Daphnia pulex: one gene and its partner. The protein of the gene in region 2 binds, or shares a complex with, the protein of the main gene of each other region. Links are inferred from orthologs where the notes say so. Each region holds a gene or a part of one and is shown on either strand. Other genes may lie near its edges.

The links.
Region 1: the proteins of methylcrotonoyl-CoA carboxylase subunit alpha, mitochondrial-like (region 2) and methylcrotonoyl-CoA carboxylase beta chain, mitochondrial-like are in contact, whole or in part, in a cryo-EM structure (PDB 8JXM), measured with the Homo sapiens proteins. The link is inferred for Daphnia pulex from reciprocal best matches to the Homo sapiens genes MCCC1 and MCCC2. Residues at the interface, in NP_064551.3 of Homo sapiens: Glu519, Phe526, His531, Asp532, Phe534, Ser535, Pro536, Phe537, Ser538, Ser539, Ser540, Ser541, Gly542, Arg543, Arg544, Leu545, Asn546, Ile547, Tyr549, Thr550, Arg551, Tyr568, Tyr636, Leu637, Ser641, Glu644; in NP_071415.1 of Homo sapiens: Leu56, His57, Val60, Glu61, Lys64, Asp88, Ile91, Pro93, Gly94, Ser95, Pro96, Phe97, Leu98, Glu99, Gln102, Ile123, Gly124, Arg125, Gly128, Glu130, Arg234, Trp276, Leu278, His281, His282, His285, Lys298, Lys299, Leu300, Ile304.

The regions. Positions count from the first base shown.
Region 1 is NC_060021.1:11,219,236-11,223,507, forward strand, and holds methylcrotonoyl-CoA carboxylase beta chain, mitochondrial-like, read left to right. Parts: upstream 1-1,148; 5' UTR 1,149-1,258; coding exon 1,259-1,408; intron 1,409-1,511; coding exon 1,512-1,765; intron 1,766-1,826; coding exon 1,827-1,934; intron 1,935-2,005; coding exon 2,006-2,138; intron 2,139-2,205; coding exon 2,206-2,384; intron 2,385-2,448; coding exon 2,449-2,503; intron 2,504-2,568; coding exon 2,569-2,709; intron 2,710-2,766; coding exon 2,767-2,916; intron 2,917-2,983; coding exon 2,984-3,207; intron 3,208-3,275; coding exon 3,276-3,390; intron 3,391-3,454; coding exon 3,455-3,658; 3' UTR 3,659-3,712; downstream 3,713-4,272. Other genes in the region: fez family zinc finger protein erm-like, read right to left, coding at 1-390; UDP-glycosyltransferase UGT5-like, read right to left, coding at 3,838-4,105, 4,208-4,272. UniProt on the Homo sapiens protein: Carboxyltransferase subunit of the 3-methylcrotonyl-CoA carboxylase, an enzyme that catalyzes the conversion of 3-methylcrotonyl-CoA to 3-methylglutaconyl-CoA, a critical step for leucine and isovaleric acid catabolism.
Region 2 is NC_060018.1:1,614,351-1,617,045, reverse strand, and holds part of methylcrotonoyl-CoA carboxylase subunit alpha, mitochondrial-like, read left to right. Parts: intron 1-1,232; 5' UTR 1,233-1,283; intron 1,284-1,344; exon of another isoform or gene 1,345-1,366; 5' UTR 1,367-1,526; coding exon 1,527-1,594; intron 1,595-1,727; coding exon 1,728-1,905; intron 1,906-1,969; coding exon 1,970-2,187; intron 2,188-2,257; coding exon 2,258-2,492; intron 2,493-2,607; coding exon 2,608-2,695.

The DNA of each region.
Region 1 (4,272 bases), on a different chromosome or scaffold from region 2:
GAATGCCTGTTCCATTGCTGCAGAGTTACACATGTCAATGTGAAGAAGGGAACCAAGGTCCTGCAGGGCTACAACCTGCTTTAGAGTCAGTTGTAGTTCCTCCCCACCATACAAAACTTCAAGCAGCAAACGTAGAGGCTCATAATCAACACCAGGCAAATGAATCACGATTGTAGGATCAGGATTACTGATCAATAGATGTTTGAGGAAATTGCTTGCACCAGCCAAGACTATGCTATGAGCAAAGACAATCCCTCCTTCAGATATAAGCTGTACATCTGTGTAACACAGTCTTCTCTGACAAGATTGAATAGATTCCATCATAGTTTTGGAATGTAAGGAATAAGTCAGTCTGAGTGGCTGCGAATAGGAAGCATCTGGATAGTCCATGACTGAGCCTTCCCTCTCAAGACACCACAATTATTGACTAAAACACCTGCAATATCAAATAATTATTGAATGAACACATAAGCTGAAGTTGCAGTTAATCAAATGATCAAAATATTTGCAAAAATATACCCCAAATCAAGGAGGAATGACGCAGAATGTCAACGACCTCGTAAGAAGTCACGTTCGAGTTATCACTGGCAGGTGGCCTAGCCCTGTTTGTTCGCTTCTTTCACCATCGCTGCTACACCATCTTTTTCTCCATCACGATGTAGTACCCCCTCATTGTTATTTTCACTAGACGATATCACAAATGAAGTCAAATACAGAAACCGTATACACTATGTCGTAAGGCACTGATAAACACGCCGATAATCTTCAATTTTTTTTTTTAGAGAACCATATCTTTTACACACGAACAACAAAATACAAGAAACTGAAACGAAGAACAGTCGATACCGCCGACTCGATGACGAACGAGAACGAACTCAACGAAGATTTCGTAGACTCTTTCTGGGATTCGGCGACCAGCCGACCAATGTTACGGTTAACTGAGTTGCTTGAACCAGTTGGTCTGATAACAAACCTACAAATTGAAACTATTCCTTCTGTACCCCAGTATTGCATAAAGTAGTATATTTATAAAAAATTCAGTGATATTTCATGATTTATGGTCCTAAATAATTGGTCTAGCTTCTGGATTTAATTGATTTAGTTTGCGGATCCACAAAGGCAACGTTGGGTTTACATTTCTTTGCAGACGAACTGTTTTCATTTTTTACTGTAACTAATTCCGGGCTTTAAAGACTCGAGAAAAACAACTCCGTAAATTTGAGAAGGCTCTCTAATTCCGAGAGATAGTCCCATAAAAATGATGTCGATCGCAAAATACAGTAATCTCAGCTACCGTGTAATGTGCAATATGAAACGACTTGTCCCTGTTTCTTCCAGAAATTACTATGCAAATGATAATGTCGTTCCGATTGGAACAGATCAAGATAGAAACTCTGACACCTTCCAGGTTGTTTTTTTACTTCTGAAAGGCTTTAAAATTTAATTTAATAGTAGTTTCAATTCTGAAAATTTATAATTGTTAGTTAACATACAGTTAATTCTTCTTACAGGATAATTACAATAGAATGGCAGTCTTAGTCTCCCAACTGAAAGCAAATATTCAGAGAGTTCAAGAAGGAGGAGGTGCAAAAGCCACTCAGCGACACAAGTCAAGAGGAAAACTTTTGGCGAGAGAGAGGGTGGAAGCTTTAATTGATCCATCTTCACCATTCCTCGAATTTTCTCAGTTGGCTGGAAAGGATTTGTATGGATCTGATGAGGTTCCTGCCGGAGGTGTTATTACTGGAATAGGACGAATCATGGGGTAAAAATTTTAACAAAGAATCCATGTTGTCGTAATCTTACGTCCTCACTTGAAATTGCAGAAACGAATGCGTTATTGTTGCGAATGATGCAACTGTTAAAGGTGGAAGTTACTACCCAATTACAGTAAAAAAACATCTTAGAGCGCAAGAAATCGCCGAACAGAATAGGTGAATATTTTCCTTAAAAAGAGTATTAAATGCAAACTAACGATTGTTCTTCAAACAAAAATGTGTTGCAGTTTACCTTGTGTCTATTTGGTCGATTCTGGAGGTGCCAATCTGCCACACCAGGCCGAAATCTTCCCTGATCGAGAACATTTTGGAAGAATCTTTTACAATCAAGCAAACATGTCTGCCAAGGGAATTTCTCAAGTATAGTGCAAATTTCACAATACTCTATAGTTTTCCATGTGTGATCAACATTTTGTGTCCAAAATAGATTGCGGTAGTTTTGGGATCTTGTACGGCGGGTGGCGCTTATGTACCAGCTATGGCCGATGAAAGTATTATTGTTAGGAAACAAGGAACCATTTTTTTGGCTGGACCTCCACTAGTCAAGGCTGCCACGGGTGAGGAAATCAGCGCAGAAGAATTGGGTGGTGCGGACCTTCATTGCAGGTATTTTAATAATTTAACCTTTCATTGCATAGCTGTTTATAACTGAAACAACTTTACTTACTAGTAAATCCGGAGTTACGGATCACTATGCCGTTGATGATCTCCATGCATTACATCTGGTTAGTATAATGTTTTCTTATTGGGTTAATTCATTTCCGTTTGTAATTTTTCATATTTTTGTTAGGCAAGAAGGGCTGTTGGTAATCTGAATCTGGTGAAGAAGCCGGATATTTCTGTAGCCCCACCAGAAGAACCTCTCTATCCTGCCGATGATATTTATGGAATCGTTGGTGACAATGTTAAGAAAAATTATGACATTCGTGAGGTATATTAAATAACATGAAACAAGAAAAGAATTTCAGTCCTATTGCAAATAACGTAGGTCATCGCTAGAATCGTAGACGCATCGAGATTTGACGAATTCAAAGCCAAATACGGAGAAACACTCGTCACAGGATTTGCACGCATCCATGGTTATCCGGTCGGAATCATTGCAAACAACGGAGTTCTCTTTGCTGAATCTTCGATGAAAGTGTGACCCATTTCCATTTTCATTTGCTTATTTCTTCAATGTATAATTTGCCCCCTTTGTTGCATAGGGAGCCCATTTTGTAGAATTATGTTGCCAGCGCCGTATTCCGCTTATCTTTCTTCAAAATATCACCGGTTTCATGGTCGGACGAGAGGCGGAAGCAGGCGGCATCGCTAAGCATGGAGCTAAGCTAGTCACAGCTGTTGCTTGCGCTCAAGTTCCAAAGCTAACCGTTCTTGTCGGTGGAAGCTATGGAGCCGGAAACTACGGGATGTGTGGAAGAGCCTACAGGTATTGTTCGTCAGAGACTCTTAACGCAAATGTTTTTGGTTCAAATGCACTCTTCTTTTTATTTTTAGCCCAAGATTTTTGTACATGTGGCCGAATTCGCGAATTTCAGTGATGGGTGGTGAACAAGCTGCCGGAGTCCTTGCACAGATTTCGCAAGAGCAGAGAAAACGAGAAGGCAAACAGGTACAACCCATAGATGCTTAATTAAGCTTGTTTTCCAATTTAAAAAAATCGTTTCCTTTCATAGTGGACTGCTGAGGAAGAGAAAGCATTAAAAGATCCGATTTTGAAGAAGTATGATGTTGAAGGATCTCCGTACTATTCTTCGGCTCGACTGTGGGATGATGGTGTAATTGACCCAGCTGACACACGCAAAGTTCTGGCACTGAGTCTTAGTGCAGCGCTTAATGCCCCAATCCCATCCACTAAATTTGGTATTTTTAGAATGTAAATCTGGGCGAGAAAGTGTATAAAATATATAGATAACTATTGATGTTGGGTCATCCAAAAACAATTTATTGATTCATAATTACATTTTTGTTTCACAGGCATTCTTACCTAGACTATAACCATCATTCAAAATTAATAAATTTTTATTTCTTTATTTATTCAGATATTTCGCCTGACACGTTAATGTGTTTTAAGTTTTGACCTTGTAAGTCTTCGAAGAATCAATGCCCCAAATTTATAGGATGCAAACATTGTGAACACCAAAGACACAAACAAAAAGAGCCACACATCAAGCAGATAAACTTGATAAAACGGCATGTCTTTACTTTGAGGGTGTTTTGGTCCGCCGTGACGAAGGACGTGTTCTACCCAATAGGCAGCTACTTTTCTTGATGGCATCAGTTCATCATGCATCAGGTGGGACAGTCGGGTAGCATTATTCTTGAAGCTGGTAATGAGGTAATAAAAAATGTGCTCTTAAGTTTTGAAAAGCGTATAAAGGTGAGAAGTACATCGATAGTTTTAGTGACAATAGTTCTTATTTATGTACCTTGGCTGATTTATAATTTTCTGAATAGATTCATACAGCAGCTCTTCAGTTAAATCTTCCCATTC
Region 2 (2,695 bases):
CGACGCTTTCACGCTGATTGCAACTGACTGGGAAACTACGTGCCCGTAATTACTTTTGCCTCAGTTATTAAAGGGCAAGATGTGCACCGGAATTATAAAAGAGTATAGGCCTAGCCCGCGCATACAAAGGAGCTGAGGAGCAAGGAAGAGAAATGAAAGTTATGGCTCATTCATGATGTCTGCCTCATCTGAGGCAGAGTCATATGAAAAGGCACAGACGAGACGGAGACGAACGACTGACTGAAATAGAAAAGGATTCCACTAGAGTTTGTGCAGTTTATCTCATGTGTAATGCACTGCTCAGCGCAGTTACCCAGAAAAGAGCCAAGGAGAAAATGCATTGCATTAAATGGGGGTATCTACACAACAATGCCTTGTCGCACAACCAACGGACGGTAAAGTCGAGGACGGGGAGTAGAACCTGAACGACATGAATGCAGCATCGATTTTTGCAACGCGCTTCATCCGGCTCGGCTCGGCGGAAGCCGAGTGACGATCGATACCCTCAGACCCCAGAGAATTTTGGCAAATTAATCATTTTCGGGCCCATGGTAGACCAATATTGCCGCACTTTATAAGGCGATCAGACTAGAAAAAAGAAACGAACTGATTAATAGTTGACTGCAGCAACAAACTCTGAATCGTAAATTATTAACGGGGTTTCTGCCTCGATATCGGTCGGTCACGGACTTGCTATTATTATTTGATTTGTAATGCATCAAGATGAAGGCGGAACATGGTCGGCGATGTTTAAATCAAAACCCGTTCTTGGAAACGCAATAGGGAGTTTGGGAACAAAAATAGAAAATCTGTTGAGTCAACAACTTGATAATCGGTTTAGTTGCGCACGTACTCATATTTCAATGGCTCAAAGCTTGGCACTTCAGTTTAGGCTGGCATATCAAAAGATCAATACTTCAATTGACGTGAATTAGGCTTGCAATTCTTTAGAAGTTCGTCGTCACAATTAACGAATACGAAGTCTTGAAGGGAGGTCATAAGACGTAGGCATAATTGCACGGTTCTGGAGCCAATCTGAATTGTACGGTGAATAAACAAGGCTAATTCAAAAGTGGAGCTCCTCATTATAATCTCCCCGTGAATTGGGTGGAAGTTGCCCTCCAACAAATGCGTGAACCATGAGTTTAAAATTTTTTTGATCACGAATTGTGTCTTTTGAAAAATAGGAATTAAATGAATTGTATAATAAACCCATCATTTTACTATTTTAGATTACGGGCGTAAAGACAGGAGAAATTGAGTCACGTGTCGGCAGAGTAAATGTAAGTTTCCTTCAATACTATACATTTTTTTATTTATTTTTTATTTTAATGTTACCAAAAGACTTGTGTAGCATTTTAAATAGAGACGCAAATCTGGAAATTGAAAAAAAAAATGGAACGGAACAAACAGCAAAACGTGTGCTTTTAGAAATGTGGCATTGGTGCATGGCCGCTGCATTGACGTAAATAAAGATTTCTGCTCTTGTAAAGTCTCTTAGAAAATCTACGGAAAACAACTTCAAAATGGGCCTTTACGGAATAAGGGCATGTTTGGCAGGCAAATACGTTCAAAGGAGCTTGTGCACAACTTGGTAAATACCGGTAGTCAGTATATGACGTCAAGAATTTAATTTATGAGTGGCTACATTAAGAGCTAACTACATTACAATACAATTTGATATTATGAGAAGAAAGCAAAATATTAATGGCACTATTTTCTTGCAGTAATTCTCTCTCACCAAATGCAACTAAAGCTGCCCCGAAAGTTACACCCCTGTCCAAGATTCTAATAGCCAATCGAGGTGAAATTGCCTGCAGAGTCATCAGGTCTGCAAAACGGTTAGGCATCCAAACTGTTGCTGTTTACAGTGATGCAGATCGTAATGCTATGCATGTTAACATGGTAACAACTTTAGAGATTGTATTTGTATTTATGTTTTATATTACATTTGAGTTTACATATTCAGGCTGATTCTGCCATCCGCCTTGGCCCAGCATCCTCTGTTGAAAGTTATCTAAGACAAGACAAGGTTCTAGAAGCTGCTTTCAGAACAGGGGCTCAGGCAATACATCCTGGATATGGATTTCTCTCTGAAAATGTTGAATTTGCAGAGCTTTGCTCTAAAGAGGGTATTATATTCATCGGTCCTCCTGCTTCAGCCATCAGAGACATGGGGATTAAAAGGTATTATTTGTGAAAGTTGTTAAAAGTTTATCATGGAAAATTCTATTCGGAACAATCTTTTATTTCACAGCACCTCCAAACACATCATGTCAGCTGCTGGAGTTCCTGTGATTCATGGATATCATGGAGTGGATCAAACTGATGAAAGATTAAGGCATGAGGCAGAAAAAATTGGATTTCCACTCATGATTAAAGCTGTTCGAGGTGGAGGTGGTAAAGGCATGAGAATTGCGCTTACACAGAGTGAGTTCGAGACTCAGCTCGAGTCTGCTAAACGTGAAGCACAAAAGTCATTCGGGGATCAGGTAGAGAAATTCTTGCATTAATCTTCCTAATTTTCTGTCATTTTTGATAACTGCATAAATTGCAGAATAGAATCAACCGTTAAAAACTAAAGAATGTATAACTCTTTTTGGATAGGTTATGTTATTGGAACGTTATGTTGAAAGGCCTCGACACGTTGAAGTGCAAGTATTTGGCGACAAATACGACAACTATGTCTACCTAT